Coturnix japonica: one gene and its partners. The protein of the gene in region 3 purifies or fractionates together with the protein of the main gene of each other region. This does not show direct contact. Links are inferred from orthologs where the notes say so. Each region holds a gene or a part of one and is shown on either strand. Other genes may lie near its edges.

Region 1 (8,086 bases), on a different chromosome or scaffold from region 3:
AAAATATCACAGCAGATATGTTTAGTAAGTTGGTCTGGTTCTTCCTTCCAGGCACACAAATAAATGCATGTAATGCAAAGGAGCAAAGTGTTAGAAGCTCGCTCTTTGGAAAACTTTGGATGTGCAGAAAAAACAGATAGGAAAAAACGAATGAAATTCCCACCCCTCCAAAGCTCTCTTGTGCTACCGTCTCCTCTTCTAACATCTTCCCTTTAGGACTTTGTTTCAGGAGCTACTGGAATTCAAGCTTTGAAATGGGACTCAACCAGCACTTCCTGGGTGCAAATGCAGTCATTTTACTTCTGTTTTAAATTCATCCCTCTCACATGGGGCACTTAATTGCTTGTACACTGATACTATCAGTATTCCTAAGTAAATTTATCTCAGTATCGATTTTTACCTGTTCAGGTAAGAGGTGCCTGAGCTGGCAATTTCTTCCTGTCCTTGTGTAACATAGAAAAACATTGGCTTATCTGGCTGCGGCCACTGGAAATCAAACCCTTTCTTCACACGGTCAGCTGAAGAACACAAAAGTGATCAAGTCAGTACTGCTTTACTAAAAATCCACTTTCACAGCAATACCTCAAAGACTCAAAACCATCAGTGTGGAAGCAGTTCCCTTCCTAATTGAATTTAAAAGAAACTAATCTAGATCAAAGAATTTCTCCTTCGATCCTTAATGAACTGTAGAGAAAGGAATTTGAAGGAAATGCCATTCTTACTCACCTGCAGTGACACCATTCTGGAGCGAGCCCTCATAGAAGATGTTGGATGGGAAAGCACTCAGGGCAGGGTGCATGCGGTACTGCACCTGCAGGCGGATGGGACGAATCCCCAGCACTACCAGCCTCTCAAACAGGGACTGAGACAGGCCTGCCTTTGCAGCTTTCTTACACATCACAACAGGACCAAGCTGGCAATGGTCACCTACGAGAATAAGCTGTGGAAAAGAAAAAATCACCACTGATGACAACGCAGATACCTAAGTCTGAATTTTCTGCCTAAATTACTACTTCACCTATTTATAAATCACACATTAAGGACATCTGATGGCTCATACCTGCTTTGCTCCCAGCACAACTGGCACCATGCACTCTGGCTCAGTGGCTTGGGTGCTCTCATCGATCAGAATGGAGCGAAACTGCATTTTTGCAAGTCTTGGATCACCAGCTCCCACACACGTGCAACAGATCACATCTGCATTCTGAGACAGAAACACAACCGAAATCAATCAAGCAGGACAGATAACACTTCCAAACAGAAGGTCACTGAATATCATTCCAGGGATCTCCCCAAAAATTAAACTGCACACTGATATCTGCCAACAAACTGCAACTAAGCTTCCAGTGGGAGAAGGCAGTAACAGGACTATTGTATCTAGTGGAACTTTACCATGAGCAATTCACGCTCTGCTGTTCGTTTCAGTGCACGGTAGCGTTTCTCATCAGCAGATGACAGTTCTCCAGTTTCATCTTTGAGTTGTTGCAGCTTCTGAAGCTCTGGCATGCTGCAAAAATGGAATTTTGCATTATAATCTAAGTAACAACTCCAGCTCACACTGAAGCTCTTTGCATATTACCACAGAAACAAGAAAATGTGTTTGCCAAACTAAAAATGACTTATGCACAGAGCAAAATATATACAGTCACTGTCAGAGAGCTGTTAAAACAACCTCATCCATCACTATACCTGAGGTTTGGGGGTTTTGGGGGTGTCTTCCCCTCTCCTCTCACCCATTTCTTACCTATCCATGTTTCTGATCTGGTTATGCAGTGCCAAGAAGGATACAGGTGAGTCAATTGCCTCACGGCTTTTAGCACACAGCCGAACCACTTTCAGACCAGTCTGATGGATCTTCTCTGTCAGCTGATCTACAGCTATGTTACTCGGAGCACACACTAACACAGGCCTTGGGGGAAAAAAAAGAAGGCAAAAAAGTAAGTGCCAATGAACTAAAAGCTTCTCCCTGCACAAAAGGACCCTAAAATTAAGCTACTGATGAACATCTTCTGATTTAAGCTCAGAACTTCACAGAATAATACGCTTCTAGAAAATCTTCCCAGTTCAAAGGATACAGACTGCTTAAGTGTTTAAATGTGAGCTGATTCTCTGGACCAATAATGAGGTAAGCTCAGGCATAAAGATTCAGAGAAGTTCTTACCCATTGCCCTGTCTAGCCAGATGATAGACAATGGTAGCTGATGTCACTGTTTTTCCAGTACCAGGGGGACCCTGGATAAGGCTCAGAGGACGCTGCAGGACAGTCTTCACAGCATAAACCTATGGAATTATTGTAATGCTATTCAGTATTCCATGCACTCAACATCAGTCATAAATCCTTTATCATATTCTTTGCATGTAGAAAAAAGGAAGATGAGGTTACCTGAGAATGGTTGAGATCAGGAAGTCCTTGTGCTGTAAAGCGCTTTGGCAACTGGCATTTAATAATTACATCTTCCACCTCATGGCCTAACAGTTTGTGATAGATGTATCCTGACACCGAAGTCTCATCCACAGCAAATGTTTTTAAAGCACTCTGCATTCTGAAATGAACAAAGGACAAAAAACATAACAATATCAGGATTACCTCAGATGAAATTATGCATAAACGTCTAACAGAAGTTAATCAGCCATCAGACATATTAAAACACAGCTTTGGGAAAAAAGACAGTGCAAAGCATCTAATAGCAGAATTATGAGCCCCAAAGTTATTAGACTTCCAGAACACAGATCTTTGTTTCTCCAGTGTGCATTCCACAAAGTATAACCACAAACCAGCCATGGAACTGGACTCTGACAGAGTTTGCAGTGGATGTTTTAGGTGCAAGATCTGAATAAAAGCTGTACTCAGTCCCTCTATTTCATGACAACAAACAAACTCCTATCTCACAACACGCAGTATGGACACATCTCAAGCCCACAGCCCCCACAGCTGATTCAGTTTCCTTGAGATTGTCAAAGTTATTCAAAGTTGAGGAGAGCAAATAAGAACAGAGATCCCTTCATGACTGCATTAACAAACAGAACCTCAAATCTTTTTCTTCTTAAATCCTAAATGCTACTAAGCTTGAGGCTAATTTTTCCCCTTGGATTTGCATGTTACATGAATGTATTTCCAAAATCCCTGAATGTGCTTTCGAAGTGAGAAACAGTGACAGCTTGGAATTCAGCTGAACATTACCACCTCTAACAACAATTAGAGCTGTTGCTCTGTGAAGCAGGTGTCACGTTCGTGAACTTGATGAACTCAATACACTCCCTCTGATTACGAGCATAATGAAACAATACATCATCTCGTGTTCAAAAATCCCACTGAAGTCAGAAGAAAAAATATACACCTACTGAACTCATTATGAACTCATCTGCTCAGTTTAAGTGCTTTCAATACCTGTCAAATGAAGTAGACTTCCACACAAAATCCACTTGGAAGTTATGAGTAACCTCCACAGGGGCTCCAACGCTGCTCCTCAGCTCAATGGCTATCTCATCACCATAATCTGTAGAACCTCGTTAAGTAGTAATCTATAGCAAAAATTTGAATTTTATTTTTCCCGATTTTGATTTATTAAAGTAGACACCCACTAATTACAATAGTTCCAAAATTACTTATGTACACAATTTAGGGGTTCCTCAGAGATAATTTAACATTTCATTTAGCCTCATCTGAAGGCTCACTAAGTAAAGGATACTATCAGGAACTTTGATAACATGGCCAATTCCTTTCCACAATGGGGCCAGGTCTCCTTTATACCTCAAGCAGATCTCATCTCCTTGCATAAGACGCATATCTACAAAGCAAAGAGAAAAAAGAACATTTACAACAACCAGCCCACAGTGCAGAAAACCTACAGGACTATCTTATATTCCAGGCCAGAGCATTACAGTTCTTTAAATAGTGATGTTATTCACCAGGTAAAAAAAACATGAAGTTGAGCTGTCATTACCTGAATCAGTCTTTGGCAAAGTGAAATAAGCAATTCTTTTCTTGTTCAAGCCCAGGTCCCATCTGACTGTGATGTTATCTTGGGTCTAACAATAAAGAAAGATCAAATATTATGTTCTTAAGGAGCTGTTCACCAACTACCACAATTCTCATGGCCCTAAACTTCAAAACAGTGGAGAAATACAAAACTTGCTCTTCCACTGCCGTCAAATGCCTGTATTTATTATTATGGACTGTATTAACACCACCTGTAGAAGTTAATTCTGTTTCAAAGACAACATGTTTAGTTAATGAGAAATATGTTGTAATCACCACCTGTGTTTGCTTTATAAAAAACCATTAAGTGTCCCCAACATATTACAAGCTTGACTGGAAAGTGACTGATAAAAGGTATCTACATGTTATGAGTAAAAGAACATAACAGAAGGTGGCCAAGAAGCAGCTCTGACAAAGAATATGATTCTAGGAAAGACAAACTTGGAATTCAGAACAGATGGAAGACCTTAAGTGTTGTCTCAAGTTTTTCCCTGTGATCACACATCATTACTACTGTTAATTACTGTCAGGTCTTTATTACAGTAATATTACATATACTTCATTTTAGTTTTTCCTTCTATTAAGTGAGAGAACTGGTCAGAAGTCCCCCCCACCCACTTTTCAAGCAGGTTACCTGAGACTCCTTAAGCTTCTTGTCATAGTCTGCCTCAAGCTTGACTAGAGGACCAAATATATTTTGGTACTGATAAGCATCTTCGTATCTAAGCAGGACATGCTGTGGCTCTTCATCAACACCAGGCTTTTCTAAGTCCTCAAGGGTTGCGGATGGATTTTCCTAGAATTTAACACACAAGTCTTGTTTGTGCTTAAAACTTTGAAACAAGTGACAATAAACCGCTAAAACTATACTGAGATATTATGTCATGCTCAACTACCTGCAGTCAAGTTTGTTCTGCATTAACAGATGTACAGAAAAAGCTCTCAAAAAGCAGAGACTGACTACAGACTGACTGACAGAACCCAAAGATGAAGCTTTCCTACTTTAACAGGTGATCTCCTGAATTCTCTAGTAAATTCCCAGTTGTATTGCTTCTCAAAAGGTTAAGGTTTGAACCTCATATATATTAGGTTACGTTTCCTGCTTTACACTGTTGCTAAAACAGCCTTGTCCCTCCTTTATAAGACACAAAACCAGCACTAAGTAAAACTTAAATGGTATCTGAAATGTGGGAAATACCTTCCAAAGTTCTTCCAGTTTGTTAATCTGCTGAGCTGTAATCTGACGTGCTCTCAGCTGTTCCTGCTCAGATGGAATCTTTACCAGCCACGAAAGGAAACAGCGATCTTGGATAAGAGGCTGCCACTGTGAACTGTCCCAATTAATATCCTTTAAACTGCTCTGACTTGCACATGGCTGCCTGCACAACCAAAATATTGGAAAAAGTTATTACTTTGAAACAGCTGTAAGGGAATCTACCAAAGTATAAGAACATGTTTAATGTATTCTTCAAACATATTAAGCATCTTGGTTAAAAGAAGAGAGCCAACACTAGTAGCCTGCTGAGCCAATTCATCAGTTCCTTCATTTGGTATTTCAACACTGCAGAGGCAAGGTATCCTGATCAGAATTTCTTCTGTATTATTAGGACTGAAAAAACTCAGCATCTAAGATACTAAACATGACGTAGGGATAAAAAGGAGAGTATAAAACACTGAGGTACAAAGTGAAAGCTGATGGCTGTCATGTAGAAATCCAGTTGTGCAATACTTAACACAAACACTGTAATAAAGGCATTCTCTCACCTGCACAGCAAAACAACCACAGAGTCTGCCTTAGCTGGAATAAAGCCAAGGAGAAACACATTACGACATCCGCAGTTGTAACATTCCAGGACAGTCTCTCCTAGAGGTCCATCTTTATGGAGAGTCACCTCTTTGCACTTTGCTCTCACAAGATGATTAACAATGTGGCTGAAACCAGAGAGGATGTGTATTTATAAGCAGTCAATATGAAAACCAGATTTAGTTCTAACTTTATGTAACATAGCAACTCAGTCATTATTAAGAGATAAACAAAAACCTATTCATACTTTGGCAGACGTTAGTAATTCCCTGCTCTTTTCATCCAGGCCAAGATGACTGCTGACAGTTTCAGTGTTTTTCCAGTGCATAAATACTTTGAAGTGAATGTGAAAGAAGGGGCAATGTGTAAGAAATTGTTATTTGGAAGCAGCTTCCTGACGCTCCAGAGATCACAGCATGAGTTACGCTGCTCTGCAAGAGCACAGGGGGAAGAAGCAGTGAGCTCACGTCACAAAAGTAATTCAGGTTCCACTGAGATGAAGCTGTAAGCTCATAACAGGAAAAGGTAGAGGTTGGAGGTTCACATTCAAGTCACGAGACTTCAATCATGGTGGAAAATATAAGTCACACCCATTATGCCATTTCAAAACAAACACTAAAGCAAGTTTGCCCATCTAATTTCCATCATTTAATCATTTACCTGCCAGATGTATTTCCACGCCCATTACAGAACCACTTTTTGCTGGTGTTGCAGTAAACCACACAGGCAGGGTCATGGATACCACAGTAACTGGAAATGAAACGAGATGAGGAAGTGGTTGGGAAATTGTTAATAGGAAAATGCAAATACAAGATTTAGAAGTGCACAAAATAAGGCGAAGTGAAAATTAGGAATCATGAGAGTTGTTGGAAGCACCTAACACATGAGTTAAACATCTGGTCTGAGGCAAGCTCTTTAACTATTTCTATCATTACCATTTCTAGGATGGCTCAACTTTGTAGTCCTTAGAAGAAAGGCCCAAGAGCTCAGCAATGCAGCACGGTCAGAGCACGCAGGAGCTCAGCAGGGGGCACTCCCAGCCTAGCAGCAGGCGGTTGCCAGCTCTTAATATTCCAGCCATGCACATTGCACTCAGTGCCCCCACCTTCAGGAAACGATCAGCTCTCACCTGCAAGCATGCACGGGAAGATCCTTTGTATAGTAAGTATCTTCTTCATCTTCTTCAAAATTCAGCTCTGCCAGAAGCTGGCTGGTTTTAGCTACATTATCATCCACTGCTCCATTCTGCAGAATGCCATCAGGTCCATTAACCTGCAGTACAAGGTCAGTGCTTAGGTTATACTATCAAAATATGTTCAGAACAAATGGTAATCCCTACTTTGTTATGTAAAAACTTATCTTTAACTCAGGAAAAAGCTCAGAAGAACATAAAACCGATAAGAGTTTGAAATACACACCACATATAACAAAAATAATCACTTATACATTGTATATATAATCAATGCTTGCTTCATTAGTTCCTATTTGACAGGAATCATGAAGCGTCAGTTCACAAATAGGAAAAATGAATGACAAAAGTCAATTTTTCTCTGAGGATTATCTTCTTCTCTATCCACCAAACCAATCCTCCTCCTCAGAGACTCCAGAAGCGAAGACAACAGGGAGCAGGGGACCAAGACCAGTTCCAATGCATATCTAACTAAAATAGAGCAAGAAAGAACAGAAGCTGGCTCTCAGCACACTGCCCAGCTCTCTAAGCAGCATCACTTGCTCTGTGTGTATCACCTGTATGACATGCAACCAAATAATCCAGGTGTGACAATCCCTACTGTGTTACTCAGAAATTGTTTTAGCCACCATAAAAAACAAAGACGTCTCATTAAGTTACCCAGGAAACACACAAACTCCATTCAAACTAACACAGCCCGAGTTCTCAGAGCAATGCCTTTCTACATGGCTAACACAGCACACAGAACAGGTGTTCCCTCTTTGCACTGAGGACACAACCTGCCAGCACCACAAAGCTCTGCGTCAGCACGTTTGACACATCAAGTCTTACTCACGTTAAAAATAACTCCATTTTGGCAATACTCAGCGCAGTGCTTTTACCAGCAGGAAGGAGCACCAACAGGTGTGAATGGCACAAAGCAGACTTTAGCTTGACTAAAGCAGCCATTGTCCCTTGGGACTCCTGAGCTTCCAGTTCCATTCTGCCATAGTAACCACATCTCTGCAGACTGACAGTCATTGGGGGTGGAAGGGAACTGCAGCAGCTCAACACTGAATAGCATCTTCTTGGCTGTTTCTGTGTGTGTTTCTTAGCACACACAAACCTCTCATCC
Region 2 (8,731 bases), on a different chromosome or scaffold from region 3:
CATCATCTGGGTTCTCAAACTCCACATAAGCGTAGCCTTTAGAGAGGTGTGGATTTAGCCTGTCAACTGGCATGTCAATCATTTTAATCTTTCCATAAGTGGAAAAAATTTCCATGATGTGATCCTGCCAAAAAAGAGCAGAACTTAAGGATGTACAGCACTATCACTGAGCAGCTCTGGCTGGTACAGAGCACACAGCACCACATCAGCTTTGAATCAATGCCACCTGCAGGAGATATATTCCACTGATCAGGTGTGGAAAGGACACTGAGATTACCACATCCTCTACTGACATCTATGTCTGTTTCACTTCAGATCACTCTAATCCTTAACAGAATTACTGGCTGAACACCACCACAGGCTACAAAAGCTGCACTAGTGTAAAAACCTTCCTGGGGACCTTAGGAAAGTGAAGTTGTGTCCTCACTTAGAAAGTCTTAAGGTGCAATTCTTAATATTGTGTTTTTAAATAGCATTTTTTCAGCACCCTAAACTTGTATTTCTGCAGACCTTTAAACTACATTCTAGCAAAGACAACTCCAGCCAGTCCAGCTCTCCTGAAGCTCCTTTTGGTGAACCCCCCAGGTGTCCTTAATGCCTCCCAGGTGATTTCTACTGCTGTACTGACTTCTACAGCTTTCTTCCTAGGAAGGTGGAGCTCTCGGGTACCAATAAGGCAGACAGAACTTTTAACACTACTGAATTACACAAGCCCACAGTTAATTTGACTTGAGGAAGTTCTACTGAAGCATTCCACGCTCATCAGTTTGGACACAAAGCAAGCATTTCCAACAGCAATGTGCTGGCAGTACACCAGCAACAAAACAAACCTTGAAGGCTTTAAAAAAAGCCACCAACACACGCCCACAGGGGTGCACCTGCGTGGCATTACAGGAGAACATGCCATTACCTTGGTGACGTTTCTAGTGAGCCTCCCAACGTGCACTTTTGTAGGTCTGGGTGATGGGCTGCGCCGCTTCCGCTCCTTTTCATCTCTCTTCGGTGGCTTGGACCTGATTTGGACATGAAAACATTCACAGTTTTCAGGGGAAACAAGACGACAAGAACTAGAAGCTGGCATCCATTTTGACTGCCATTAATAGAAACATGCCTGTTCTAACAAAATTCACATCTCTAAGTTACGGAGAATGCAGACCATCCTTGGTAAAAATCTGTTTGATCACAACCTTGTATTGCACAAGGAACCTGCTCTGTAGGAATTCCTAAAGACAACATGAACTCACTTGGAGCGGGACCGCCTCCTGTTGTCATGTCTCCGTCGGGACGGACTGGGGGATCCAGAGGAGCTGCTGGAACTTGAACTGCGTGAGGTGCTGGAGCTCCCAGAGCGGCTTGAGGCAGAAGAGGAGCTCGAGCCACTGCTGGAACCAGTGCTGGAACTGGATCCTGAGCTGGAAGTGGAGCTGGAGCGGGACCTGGTAAAGGAAGCAAAACATGAGTGGAATACCCAGAAAAAGAATGGCTGAAGCTCTTCTCCTGGTAGACAGAAAGCAACTGCAAGTTACAGCAATGAAAACCGACTCTCCATAGCTCACTAATTCCACCATACTTCACAACGGTCAAAACCCCTTCCTTTAATCTTTCCATTGTGACCAATGCAATTCAAAGGTTGTGTAAATCTGAGCCGTGTGGAAGTCAGCAAAAGGTGGCTCTGAAAACATGTATTTGTTACTGCCTGTAATGGTAGCTACCTGGTGCTGCTACTCCCACTGGAAGCACTGCGCCTTTTGCGCGTCTTGTCCCGACCACGATCCTTTTCACCCGATTCCTTAGTGGCTGCTTTGTCCTTGGATCGGTCCTTTGATTTCTCTTCAGACCTATCCTTGCGTTTGGTTGGTGAGGGAGCCCTTCAAGAATACATGGCAGAAGGGATTGTTTAATATGGAAAACACACTCAAACAAGGAACAGAACAGCAACACAAAACACTGAACTTTAAATGTAATTGAAGACACCAAAAGAGCAGAGTTAAAGCATTAGGTAAGTTCGAGCTTTTTAGGAAAAAGGAAAATGTGTTACATTGCAGAGTAGCAGCTTTGCGGACAGCAGGTCCAGCACACAGAACTTACTGTCATGTGTAAGTTCACCCACAGAGATATTTTCAACTCCTTACCCTCACTGGGAAAGCCCCAGTACCCTACAGCATCCCCGCTTCCAGCAGGCCTTGAAAATCTGGAATGATTACCTAGTGCTGGATTTTTTGTTATTTTCTTTAAGACCCAGCAAACTCTTCTTTTTAATTCCCATTAACTCTGTTTCCCCTTCAGAGGTATCCAAAGCAAAACAGGCCTCACTTGTGCCAAATCTCAGTTCTAACCCCTTGCTTCTGAGAAGTGACCCCTAATTGAAAGCAACAGAGCAGCCAAGTGACAAGGTAAGAGTGTTCAGAAACAAGATGAACAGACACAGAAGAGCAGAGCTGCTGTGCACCAGTGGCAGCACACCAGAGGACAAGTGTGTTCTCCAGGGCACTGCAGCCAGGCACAGCACTGCATGGCAGTTACATCCAGCCCCTGGGCCAGCTCAACCTTCATGGAATACAGACCTGTATGCGTGTTTAAAGTTACAAATTGTGATATTCACAGAAGTACAAAAGACCCTCGCTATGTGCTCCCCTTGAAGGCACACAGAGGACATTCATCTCCTACACACGGCACACATGCAGCTCCTGCCTCTTGACAACATCCTCATCTCCAGAGGAAGCTCTGGTTTCTTCCATAGTCACCCTGTGCAGCAAAGCACATGCTTGGCAGGAAGAGATGGCTGCTGAGTAACAATATAGGCTGGTTCATTGAGCAACAGAGATCAGTATATTAGTTTGAGGAGCAATATATTAATTCAGCAAAAGGAATCAATGAGCACTAGTCCTAAAACTCTCCACTTCTGCTTTGCCTGGTGTGTGATCAGCCTTGTTTTCTCTCAATTCCCCTTCATAAGCAGCACTGGAGTCACGACAGACCACTGGTCATTGTATTTCACCAGGGGCAAGGACGCTTTCCTTGGATTTCCACACACGTTGTTTTGGAAGTTGCCCATTATGGCCTAAGAAGCAATGGACGTTTGCAAAATTGGGGAAAACCAGCTCCAGGTGAATCAAAAATGTCAGTGATGGAACTGATGGTGGAAAAATGGGGACAAAGTAAGTGGGCATACAACCAGCAACCACCCTCAGTGTAACTGTGCATGCCCAGAGGAACACGAACATACATTAATGAGTTATTGGAAGAGAATGAACGTGTGTGCCAGTGTGCTGCATGTGTAACTATTAACTGTTTACATGTAAAACCTGAACTCTGACAGCTCAATTCCAAACATTTCCTATGAGAGGGCTGCATCTATCACATACTCTAATGATCACCCAGTTCCACCTCTCTGCAAGATGGGAAGTGAGAGCTCAGAAGCCCAACAAGTGCTTTGCTAATGTCCTGCCTGCTGCTGGAGAGCTGGGAAGAGCTGCATGTAAACAGCACCATCAGCAGCACTCCTGTGTGCACCCACAGGGCTGGCACTTACCAGACTAAACAGCCAAATGCTGCTTACACATCCAGCAACCTCCTGTGAAAGGCTGCTTTTAGGCAGCCCTTAAGGTAACCAGTGTTCTTCTTTCACCCAATGAACACAGACCTTTCCCAGGACAGTTTTAGTTGGAAAGATCAGCCTGGGAGATGCAGCCTCTGGGCACTTTCACTTGTAGGTGCTCAGGCATTCACTAAAACACACCTCCATAAAGAATAACACCGCAGCATGAGCACATTAAAACAACACAAGGAACTTCTAAGCAACATCCACCCTTCCAAGAATGGAAACCAAACCCGACATCCCCAACATCTCAGTGTCTGTGCAGCACCCAGCCCAGCCCAGCCGGCCTCGGGGCACTCTATTAAGCTGCCCATTCCCTGCACACAGTCAGCTATGAGACCTATTCTTACAGAGAGCTGCAGCCAAGGCAACGACCTGGGCTCTCCCTCAGCCTTCCTGCAGGGCAGGCGCGCCCTGCAACGGCAGCTTGTTTATAGTTATATGAACAACAACTATAGCAAAGTTTTCCTCGCGTGATTTAAGGTCAGCCCGCTCGGCAGCTCCTCTCAACGCCCCCGGCCCAGCTCATGGCAGCGCGGGGCCCAGAGCGGCCGGGGCTCAGCCGCTCTCAGGCTGCGGAACGACGCCGGGCACAGCGAGACCCGCGGGTCGCTCCCGACTCGCTGCTCTGCCGCTGCCGGGCGCCGGGACCACCAGGCCCCAACTCCGCTGCAGGCCTCAGCCCCGGCTCCGCCCCGGCCCGGCCTCCCGCCTTCCTCCCCGCCCCCGGTAGGCCGCGGCGCCATCCCTATCCCCCGCGTCCATCCATATCCCCTCCGTCGGCTCCCGCCCGCTCCCCTGGGCAGCCCCGAGATGCGGCGGTGCCGCCCCGAAGCGGCGGCGGGGCGGATGGAGGCGGATGGAGGCGGATGAAAGGCCGATGGCGGCCGATGGCCGCACGGCGCTCAGCCCCAACACACTCACATCCTCGGCGCTCTCAGCGCTCCGGGCCCGGCGCGCGCGATTGGCGCAGAACGAGCGGGAAGAGCGAACGTGTGGCGAGCAGTGATGACGTCACCAGGGGGGAGGAGGGGAGGTGGGCGCCTTAAAGGGGCCGGGCAGGGGATCCATGTTGTCCTGCTGTCACGGTCTGTGGGCGGCCCGTGCCGTTATGGGCACCGCCATGTCCGCCTCATCATGTCCGTGATGGCTCCTGACGAATGGTGACCTTCCCAATGCATAGCTGGCTCTCAGTGTCAGCAGCTGGACGTGAGCCTTTCCCTATTGCTCCAGCAGAGCACAGCAAGGGCTGAACTGGCTCTTAAAGGAAATAAGATCTCAGTGGGTGTGGGTGCAGCTTTGGAATGGCCACCAGCCCCCCAGAGAATACAACAGATGGAGGTTCAGCTGAGATGCTGCATGGGACAGCAGACCAAGTGCCAGCGCTTCTGGGGATGACACTGGGGTGGGAGAAGCGGATTTACGCTCATAGTTAATGATGTTTAATGGGCCACAGCACGAGGGGAAAGCTTTGAGCTCCCACTGCTTTGGGGGGTGTCGTGGTTTTGTACTTGTTGCTGTTGGTAATTCCACATCATGGCTGAGGTGACAGACACTGCACCACGTCCCACTGGTGACATGGGCACTGTGCGCAGCCAAGGCTGCGTGGAGGCGGCCAAGGTGCCACCAGGGACATGGAATGAGTGGGAGGGGACGTGGGGAGGTGAAGCACAGAGGCTCAGGTCAGCAGTTCCAGCAGGCAGGAGGCACTAAGAGCTCAGTGTTTATTGGTTTTGCTCCGATCACGCATGGTTCATACAAGGAACGGGCTGACTCTGCTGTGCACACAGACACGTGCTGCTGGAGGCTGCCTTGGGAAGACTTCCAGGCACCCTGAAGCAAGGCCAGGGTACCCAACTGCCGGTGCCTGGATGGCCATGGGAGGTGTGAGGTTGTTGGCTGTCCCCAGCCTGTGCCAGCACCCAGCTGTGCTGAGCTGTGCTCAGCCGTGTATGTGCTGCAGCAGAGGCATCTCTGAGCTCCTCCCTGTGTTCACAGGATCTTTTCATTTTACTGCTACTTCTACAGCGCAGGCTGCTGCGTGTGCTGCTTCTAAAGCTACTTCCGCAAGCAAGTCTAACATGCACTGCCCTCCTGAAGCTGGAGACTTCCGTGCTGCTTCCAGCAAAGCGCTTTCAGGGCTGCTGGCCTGTCCCTTGTAGGCTGAGAGATGTCAGGCATTTGCTGCTTGGGTGAGGGGTTATGTGCTCATCCGAGGGGCAAGGTGAAGTATTCAGGCTGGAGTTTGCAGCCCCAGTGAGGACACGCTTCCCACCCTTAGGATTAAATGTTGGGCCTTAGGAAGACTGGGTGAGCTGGGGCAGAGCTACAGGAGCTGCAGGCTGTGTGTGCTGCCAGGAGTCTGCCTGGAAGGGCAGCACCACTCACAGGGCGACCCTGGCAGCCATTGTCTGCTTAGAGGCTATTTCCAGCACCTTTATGCTGCTCATCTGCATCCATTCTAGATGAATCCCGAGGAAATCCTCACTATTTGTCCACTTCAGCTTTTTTCCTTCCCCCATTGCTGGCTGGAATGGCTGTCAACTGTGAGATCTGTAGGGGTGTTTTTTTCTATTTTTCCTGGCAGACTAAATTACTAAATATCACAGGGACTGAAGCACAAGGATGTTAAGCACTCGCAGCAGATGAGGGAGCGCTGCAAGGCCTTCGGGGCAGCCTTTACATTGCAAAGAAGGGACTGAAAAGCCAGTGGATGGGGTTTAGTGGGTTACAGATCAGCACCCAAAGCATTTCTACCTACTGTTTACTCTTCTTCCCCACTGAGCCTCTGTCATTGTCTCCCAGTGTCACTGGTCACATCCAACTTCTCTGACTTTCAAGTTCTGCCATATGGGAGAGGGCTTTGGAGAGGGAAAACCCTCCAAAGCCCCAACACTCACTGGCTCCTCTCTGAATCTGCAGATATTGAACTGAAGCAGCAGGCAACAGCTTCTGCCCGGCACCCCCTGATGGAGCTACGTGCTGCCAGCCCCCGGTGTCAGTGTGTGTGCAAACCCCATCTCAGTTCAGCCAGAAGGGTCAAGCCAGGCAGCTGCCAGCTATCGATGTCCTCAGGTCCTGGAATAGCTTTGCATTCTGCAAGGTACCCGAAACAGGCACTTATTGCAGTGCCTAAGTCAAAAAGAAACTGGCCAGGCCAAATCATTTGGTGCTTCTTGAGATTCTGCCTTCTGTTTTTAGGCATTGCTTTTTTCTCTTGGTGCAGGGCAATGCCTGCCAGCCCCAGCAGCTGTGCTGGATGCTGCCAGTGAATTCCTGATTAGATCAACACTGCAGCTCTACAAACAAGATGGAGTGTTTATTCTCAAGAAACAACAAACGTACCTGACCTGGCCTCAGCACAGGGCAAGCTCTTTGCCCTATCTAAAGTGGAACTGCAATGTTGAGTATTCCTCCTCCCCTCACCCGGGTATGCCATAAAGATGCCCTGACCCCTCCCTCCCCCACCAAACCCCTTGATTCACTCCAGGTCTCCTCCAGGAAGGCTGCAATGCTGCTAAGTTCTGCAAGCTGCCACCACACGCCATGGAAACCGGAGCTGTTGGGGAACAGAAGGAGAGAGAGTGAGGCTGGACTTAAGTTGGTACCCAGAAACAGAGGAAGCACACAGAGACTGCAGGAGGAGGAGCAGGAGCACGTGCTGGTGGGCCACGTCCTGGTGGGAAGGCAAACCCAGCAAGGCCACTGCTGAGGGTGGGCTCTGCTTCTTCTCAGGGGCAGCTCTGATGGGACCAGGCACTGCTGGTGGGCACTTAAACTGCTCCCCAGGAGCAAACCCCCACTGCAGGGCTAGATTCACTTCAAGGCAGATGACAGCAATGGCTATAGAGGTAAATTTCTGTTTCTGTTACATTCACATGTAATGACCACAGCAGAGGGGTGTCACAAGCTGTGGCCACCTAACCCCACAATGGAGCTGTAGGCAATGGGCAGCGAGGGGAGGGACACGTACCAGCAACTGCTCTAAGTGCTGTCGGTCTCAGGCTGGCTGGCTGTTTCACGCCTGCAGGAAAGGAACAGAAAAAAAACATGCAGTTACTGAGGGGAAAACAATTGCATCCTGAAGTGAAAGCAGAAACAAACCAATGGAACCACCCTTGCAGGGAGGATGCTTGCTAGAGCAGAGCAATGGTCCTTAGCCCAGAGATTGCAGGTGAGACCTACTGATATATCATAGCCTAAGGACGTGGCAGCTCAGATCATGGGGAGCAAAGTGAGAACCTGCTGGCAGCATCCCACTGCTTGGCTGGGGTAGTGCTCTGTCCTGACTGCCATACTGGGGATGGGAAGGGGACAGAGCCAGAACCCCACTGGGTTGCTCTTTGCCTGCTTGGTTGCACAGCTCTTTGTACACTGACAGCTCCAGCCTGAACTCTCATCTTATTTGCATGGGTGTAAAACCCAAATGGCTTCAGTGTCCCAAGCTGGACTTAACACCTGAATGAATAAGACAAGGGCTGAGCTGTGGCAGTGCAGATGAGCAAATCAGCAACCTGAATGAGCAAATCAGAAGCCCTGATAGAAAGAGACGTCCTCTTCCCAGCTCACTGCCTCCTGGAGGTGGGCTCTCTGAATGCCTTTTCTGCAGTGTGCTGGGAGGCACCAAGAGCCTCCTCCACTCTCCCCACCTTCCTCTGAGCTGACGTTGCACTGGTGCAGCTGCCAAGGAAAGCTCTAATTATAAACTGGCAGATACTTGGTGTGCCTAAGGAAGGTTACTTCAGCTGTCAAGATAACCTGATGCTCAGGGGCTCTATGTCAGCTCTAAATTGCCCTGACAGAGGATTTGGGGTGGCTTACTTTGCAGAGCCAAAACAAGGCTAAACTGTATCATTACACATGCATACCATACACACATGCTGCATATGATACAATATATTGCATACAGGTAGTGCACCACAAACTGCACGACAATGGAGTGTGGCTGTGCAAAACCGAGCTCCCCCAAGCTGTGGATGACAGAAGTGTTCTCTGAGTGCATCTAAATGTTGAGTAATGAAACAGAGGAGAAAAAAAGAAACCCAAGCAGGTGCTTTTTAGTGGCTGAACAGTACAAGGTCACACTCTTCTCTTGTTTGCACAAAGCTATTATCCACATTGCTCTCCTATTTT
Region 3 (6,915 bases):
CTCACCTGCCGCGCCACCTCGGCCGCCGCCATCGCTGCTCGCCCGCCACACGGCCCGCCCCGCCCCGCCCGGCTCCGGACGCGCCCACCGCGCCGCCTCGCGGGGGGGAACCGCCTCGTCGCCTCACACCGCCAGCTCCGCCCGAGCCGAGACCCCGCGCCGCTCCGCAGCCATATTCCTGCCCGGTGCCGCCGGTCCCGGCGCCGCCATCAGGCTGCGGGAGGCGCGGGGGGACGGGCACCCCCCGGCAGATGGCGGTGGTGCGGGCCGAGCTGCAGGCGGGGCCGGGAGGAGGACAGCGGAACCGCGCTTGGGGAGCGCTGAGAGGGCGGGCGGTGTCCGTAATGGTGTGTGGGAATAAGGGCGGCTATAAGGGCCTGCTCAGCCTGGATGAGGGCACTGAGCTAAGCCGGCAGATGACACCATGTTGGCAGGTGATGATCTGGCTGGAGGCAGCAGGGCCATACAGAGATGTGGACAGGATGATGGCAGGGATGAGCTTAACGAGACCATCACTACAACCACAGGCAGCACCACAGGCCTGGGGCAGAGCGGCTGCACGGAGAGAAGGGATCTGGGAACATGAGGTGACAGCCACAGAATCACAGAATGAGCCGGGTTGGAAGGGACCTCAAGGATCATGTAGTTCCAACCCCCCTGCCTGGCAGGGCCACCAAACATACACCTTTACTAGATCAGGTTGCCCAGGGCCCCGTCCAACCTGGTCTGGAACACCTCCAAGGACGGGGCATCCACAACCTCCCTGGGCAGCCTGTTCCAGGACCTAACCACTCTCCTAGTGAAGAACTTCCCCCTAACATCCAACCTAAATCTTCCCTCTTTTAACTTAAAAGCCAGCTGGAAAGGCTTGGGGTGTTCCATGTGTGGAGACTGGGGGAGAACTGAGCCCAGCCAGCACTCACAGCTCCACAGAAAAGTGGAGAATACGGGATTTTCTAGGAGATAAATCCCTGCCCTGCCCTTGATGTGTTCTTCCCTTTCTCCTTTCCACCTTCATAAATGAAGCTCAGCTCTGCTGAACCCACTCCACCACCAGGACGGCATACACCAAACCAGCCGATTCATTCAGGTCCATATTTATTAACAAGCCCGTACACTGTTAATACTTATGATTCCTGAAAGAAAAAGAACGCTAATAGAACACAGTCTTCATGTTTCAGATGCCAAACGCTTTAAGATTGTTCCTGTTGATATCATGAGCCTGGCCTGGCCCATAGCACCGCAGTGCGGTCCTACAGGAGGAATGTCTTGAGGGCTGTTATCAGCATTTGGGGTCTATCGATCTGACGCAGAAAGACCAGCGTTATTAGAGCTCCTGGGAGACAGTCTGTGTTACAAGCCCAGTTTGGTCCTTCTCCAGTGCCTCCTTTTGGAGTTGTACCTAAGGCAAAAACATCAGTTAGCAAAACACACACAACTGAGCAGCCAGGTGGACTGAAACCACCTTTAATGAGCTCAATAATCAGTGAAGGATTGCCATCATGCTACGGCGTCAAGCTGCCAACAAAAGTCAACTCTGGACTTTCTCTCCTCTTCTGGAGAGGAAAATACCCCCACGCACATCCTGCCCAATGAGCATTAAAGCTATTGCCTGGAGCCTAAGGCATACACATGATTTGTGATGATGAGCAGCATATGGAAAGTACACTTCTATTCGTGTTCATGTTAAGGACAAACAGCCTCACCGACACAGAGGTGAAACCAAAGGCAGCGTTAACAGGGTTACTCTGAGCAGGGGAATGGCAGTACTCCCACAGCAGGAAGCACTGCAATTGCAGCCTGCTATAGCACACAGCTTGGAAGGTAAAGAAGCATTTAAGTGCCAGGAGATGAGAAATAAGAGATTAGGCTGGATGATATCTATGTGCCCGTGTGGAAGCTGCATCCGTGCATGTAACACCTTTGAGTACGTGCACACTGTTACCACACCAACGAGGGTCCTGCGCGCTGCTGGCCCACAGCATCTCCACCAGCACCAGCCGATCCATTACCTGATCTTATTGCCCGTTTTCATGCGAATCCATTGCGGAATGGGGCGATTTTGCTTCTGCTTCTTGGCGAGGAAGCGTTTGATCTTGAAAGTCTTGTGAGACGACTGCAAAACAAAGGGCCGGTCAGCGCGGCGGGCCCGGGGAGCTCGGCCAGGCCCCGGGAGCTCGGCCAGGCCGCACATCGACTCGATGCTAACCAGCGCCCTCCCGCCCCACCAGAACCCAGCCTGGCCCCGCCGCGAGCCCCGAGCCAGCGTCCGGTGTGAAGCGGGCAGGGAACACCGCGTCCCGGCCCCGGATGGCAGCGGATGGCCTCACCATAGCGCTGCGCGGCCCGGCGTCCCGGCGATGGCGGCTGCGGAAGAGGCGGAAGGGGCGGGATGAGGGCGGGGCGGCGGCGCATGAGCACAGCGCCCCCCAGCGGCGCGGCGGAGCATGAGCACTGCGGCAGCGAGTGATTGCGGAGCTTTATTGGGCCGAGTACAAACGCGCTACGGATAAAGGAGAGAGCTTAAAGGAGCCGCGACCGGCCGAGTCTCTTTCCGGGCTGTCAAACAACACCTGAAAACAGAGGGAAGATGAAGCACAGACCGAGGACAGCGGCTGGGAAACGTTTCACGCTCGAACAGAAGGGGATGCTCTGTACAACTACATCTGATCAAAATAAGCATTTCAGTGTTGGTCGACTTTTACAAAGGAATTTCAAGCAGTATCAGTATCCCATACCAAGCCAGCTTAGTCATACACTCCAACTTAACTCTCTCTCGAGGAAGGGCTCTCCCCTCCTGAGCTCACTGTGCAATTCCAGATGTTCTCCCTTCCTACCTCACCCAGCGGCACACCTGGCTGTGCTACTGCCATCAACGAGCTGTCGTTGCTTTGGAAGGAGCACCACACAGCTTAACAGCACACCACTGCTAGCTCGCTCTGCTTGAGAGCATCGTACAGTGGTTCCAATGGCTCTATAGTAAAGCTCTGCATTAGATCCAGGTGTCATCTCCTCCCAGCTGCAGGACTCATTTATTATCATACTTAAGGCCACAAAGTCTTTCTACTTTGCAAAGGTTCTCTTCTCCGTTGTAGTTAGATGCTAGGAAAATAAATTCAAAGAACTGAAAATACAATGAGAACATTTCAAATTCCAAATCTACAACTGAGGTTCTTTAGCCAGAAACATCCAACAGCGCAATGCCCCCACTCCTCTTCCTCTGTTCCTTCTTCGCTTCGAAGGCACTTCTGGATTGCGTAGTACAAGCTCTTTGGCTGCACAGAACACATAAGGCCTGCGTGCTGGTCACTCCTCTTCCCTCACATTACTGCTCTCACTCTCTTGTTTCTTCTCTGCTCCCTGATCTGTGGACTTTGCAGCACTGTCTTCATACTGACACAATCTGCTTCTGCTTCGGGCTCCAGGCTGGTACAGCTGCATTGCTGGACGATCCTGAAATAAATCAAAACTATTTAGACCCCTTCAGAGCCCCAGCACTCTCAAGGTTATAATGACAGCAGTAATATAACAGAAGGCTCAAATTCAAACCCTTCAGACTGTTTTAAAATATATTATTCCACCAGGGCGGCAATGCAAGTTCAACTGCCTCGAATCAAGGTTGCCCCTGTTCAAGCCACAAAGAACACCGCACCTGCTTGAAGTTATTGGTACTTTACTTCTATTTCTGAATAGAAATATTCAGAGCCAGAATAGGAGGAAGGTCTGGCTCTTCCTCCTGCAGAATTCAGACCAACTTTGAAGTTCCTCCAAAACCTCTTCTATTTGTACCCAACAACGTCCTAGGTGACACATAAGACTTACATAGCAATCCCTTACGTACTTGTACTGCAAAAGCAGACCTGCACAGCACGTATAACTGAACTCAAAACATTTCATCAAGAATTTATTCTTAGGATCTTCCATTATATTTGGCACGTAACAGCCTTGTCCCTGTTTTGGAGGAACCTGATCAACTGCTCTCCTACTCCAAGATACCTTTTCAGGCACATACATCAAAAGATGCAGATTAGTGATGCTGTACCAACACCTGCCAACGGGCTGGATCTTTATCAAATGAAGTGGGATCAAGGTATTTACAACTGAGCCCACTGCCTTGGCTTAATTCCTGTACAGTGATGAGGGGAAAAAAATAAAATCAATGTCTGAAAGCTTAGTAAACAAATGGGCAGCCTTTCTAGCAGTTTGTTACATTAACAGGGAGAACTATGACAGAAACAATACGGTTCTTTCCTCAAAGTGCATTTATCCTAAAAACACAGATCGGCCCCTGTGAATTAACACACGAAATTGAAGAAATACAGCACCTTGTTTCTGATCCGATCCCTCTTAATTGTATCCTCTTTTTTATCATCTTTGGTTACTTTCTCAGATTTGTCCGTGCCGCAGGTAAAGTCTGTAAGATCACTTTTCTTTCCCTTATCTCTGAGCAAGTCTCTCTCCTTTTTCACCTCTTCCTCTTTTCTTCTAAAAACCTTTTCTTTCTCAAAGCGTTCTTTCTGCCTCCGACGCTCTTCCTCCTGGCGTCTCAGTTTCTCCCTCTGTGCTCTCTCATATTCTCTGTCTCTTTCAAAATCTCTATCTCGATCCCTGTAGTCCTTTACACACTCATCTTCCGATCTGTATGAAAACAAAACTGAAGATGAAGCTCAAAAGATTCAGCAGAGTTGGGAGATCAACGTAATACTGCTGTAAATTTGCAATATGAAGACGACAGACTGGTAGGTTCTAGGTTTGGGAAACTGTCCTAACCCAAGTCATGCACGATAACCAGAGACGGCACCAAGTGCTGACATTTCTTAGCCTTCTGGTCACATAGCTGGCCGAGTCTCCACTGGCTTCCAAAGCATCTAAAGTTCTCTGCCACACGTGGCAGAACTGCACCCTGAACAGATCATGAAGCTGCTGAGTATTAGATTTCCACCTTGCCCTTCTACAAGACTTAAAGGGACTAGTAACTGCGATATGCCTCTCCTCTTGCCACAGTTATCATTCTTTCATTGCCAGGATTGTGCTCTCAGCCTGCTGTAGGTCCCCTACACCTGGGCTTCTCTTGTGGAGTTCCTAGAGAGAGGTGCAAAAGAAACCTTAAAGTTTGTCCACTAGTGAAGAAATGACGTAATTCACACATCTTCTTACAACCACGGGGATGTTGCACTGCCACAGGAAACACATCCCACACCTTACAGCAGAAAAATCACCTGAAAGGGATTTCAAAACACGGTCAAGGCAGAGCAGCCTGACCCTCGGTACGATCAGGAAACACGTTATATATACACATAGATATTTATAGCAAGTACTAAAATACTTTTTTGCCTTCTCTTCTTTTGTCTCCCCATCAGATCGTTTGGCAGATGCACTACTCGCATTTTTTTCCTCCCTCAGAGTCTCTTTTTCCAGTTTCTTGGATTTTTCTTTTTTCTCCAAGTCTTTCTCATCTTTTTCAGGCTTCTTAAGCAGCTACAAAGAAAACACAAGTCTCAACTAAAAAGCTCACTCTAATACATATTTGTCTGGCACAACACTGAAATTGCATCAGGGGAACCACAGCCCAGTAAGGAATGCACATTAATTTTACTGCAAACTGCAGTACTTTAAAAGCTGGAGTGTATGAGTAAGCATCATCCACACAACATATTGGATTTTTTTTTCCCTTAAAACACACGTTAGAAAGCTTAAAAATAAGTCTCTATTTCATAGTAAAATCACGATTTTGTTCACCACGGCATGTACAAGTCACGTGACAAAAGCTTTAAGTATTACTATGAAGCGTTACAGCACATTAATTTTTACAATGCCTACTATTAAATATTACAAAAAAAGTGGTAATTTACGAACACCGAACTCATGTGATTCTTCACACAGAGCACATTTTGAAAGACTTATATACAAATAATAGGGGAAAAGGAATGTAACAGTTTATAATAAAGAACTGTTCTAGACCTTAATCTTTGGTTCTTCTTTTGATCTGTCTCTTTCTTTTTCTGGACATCTGTCTACTTTCTTCAGTTTTTCTGCTTCCTTTCTCTTTCTTCTCTCCTCCTCCTTCCATTTTCTTCTTTCTTCTTCCCTTTGTCTTTTTCTTTCCAATTCTCTCCTCCTCCTCTCCTCTCTCTTTTCCTCTCTGAGCCTCTATGTGTGTCAAAAACAAAGAAACGGTGTATCTCCGATCTAGAAAACATCCCTTTAAGTCCCACAGGGTATTTTGCTATGAAGTGATGGAGTATTCCATTAGAAAGTAACTCATCTCAGAACTCTCCCTATTACACAAATACAGTTCTCTCTATTATACTATTGTGAACCTGAACACATTACAGCAGTGACATTTTAAAGCACAGTACAAGTCAAGATTTATGGCAGGAAAAGAGACTGGAGACTCAGCCTTTAACATTCTAATTTCAATTAAACCTGTTTCATCAGTGACCTTCTGAATTGCTAGACATTAAAACGATATTATGTGCTGGGAGAATAATTATCTACAAGGACCTCAATCAGAACTGCATTAAAACACAAGTATTGTAATGGGATCTGGTTTGGCAGTGCCACAGAGATGTCCAGCATGGTGCTGGCTGTGACCAGGACATACAAAACATCACTGTAATTAATAGTTGTAATAGTTTAACATATGCAAACTAACTATGAGCAAGGAAATTGGATCGAAAGCTGCTTCTCCAAGAAGAAGAGCAATAACATATCAATAAACACACTTCAATATATGCACTCATGCTCTAAACAAGCCAATTATTCTACCTGTATTATTGTAGAAGAAGATTCTGGGCACAAGTCTTACCTGCTTATTTTTCAAGAAGTTCAGTAAGGGAGTTGTCTTTTTAGCTAGAAAACACACAAAAGCTAGTGTAAATAATGTTTTATCTGGTACTGCAATACCTGTAACAA

Evidence for each region.
Region 1: the proteins of UPF3B (region 3) and UPF1 purify together in Homo sapiens (co-immunoprecipitation; 16 studies listed by BioGRID and IntAct, with this or other methods). This does not show direct contact. The link is inferred for Coturnix japonica from reciprocal best matches to the Homo sapiens genes UPF3B and UPF1.
Region 2: the proteins of UPF3B (region 3) and RNPS1 purify together in Homo sapiens (co-immunoprecipitation; 5 studies listed by BioGRID and IntAct, with this or other methods). This does not show direct contact. The link is inferred for Coturnix japonica from reciprocal best matches to the Homo sapiens genes UPF3B and RNPS1.

The regions. Positions count from the first base shown.
Region 1 is NC_029543.1:2,803,740-2,811,825, forward strand, and holds part of UPF1 (regulator of nonsense transcripts 1), read right to left. Parts: intron 7,056-8,086; coding exon 6,913-7,055; intron 6,534-6,912; coding exon 6,444-6,533; intron 5,912-6,443; coding exon 5,744-5,911; intron 5,359-5,743; coding exon 5,178-5,358; intron 4,776-5,177; coding exon 4,614-4,775; intron 4,030-4,613; coding exon 3,945-4,029; intron 3,789-3,944; coding exon 3,690-3,788; intron 3,507-3,689; coding exon 3,389-3,506; intron 2,544-3,388; coding exon 2,384-2,543; intron 2,281-2,383; coding exon 2,162-2,280; intron 1,910-2,161; coding exon 1,745-1,909; intron 1,508-1,744; coding exon 1,393-1,507; intron 1,205-1,392; coding exon 1,061-1,204; intron 941-1,060; coding exon 727-940; intron 519-726; coding exon 401-518; intron 1-400. UniProt on the Homo sapiens protein: RNA-dependent helicase required for nonsense-mediated decay (NMD) of aberrant mRNAs containing premature stop codons and modulates the expression level of normal mRNAs.
Region 2 is NC_029529.1:12,008,242-12,016,972, forward strand, and holds the start of RNPS1 (RNA-binding protein with serine-rich domain 1), read right to left. Parts: upstream 4,708-8,731; 5' UTR 4,525-4,707; coding exon 4,523-4,524; intron 1,869-4,522; coding exon 1,713-1,868; intron 1,437-1,712; coding exon 1,245-1,436; intron 1,014-1,244; coding exon 911-1,013; intron 125-910; coding exon 1-124. UniProt on the Homo sapiens protein: Part of pre- and post-splicing multiprotein mRNP complexes. Auxiliary component of the splicing-dependent multiprotein exon junction complex (EJC) deposited at splice junction on mRNAs.
Region 3 is NC_029519.1:15,384,251-15,391,165, reverse strand, and holds the end of UPF3B (regulator of nonsense transcripts 3B), read right to left. Parts: intron 6,853-6,915; coding exon 6,809-6,852; intron 6,151-6,808; coding exon 5,962-6,150; intron 5,479-5,961; coding exon 5,327-5,478; intron 4,639-5,326; coding exon 4,326-4,638; intron 3,454-4,325; coding exon 3,307-3,453; 3' UTR 2,465-3,306; downstream 1-2,464. Other genes in the region: SEPTIN6 (septin-6), read right to left, coding at 6-32; RPL39 (60S ribosomal protein L39), read right to left, coding at 1,354-1,402, 2,013-2,116, 2,331-2,333. UniProt on the Homo sapiens protein: Involved in nonsense-mediated decay (NMD) of mRNAs containing premature stop codons by associating with the nuclear exon junction complex (EJC) and serving as link between the EJC core and NMD machinery.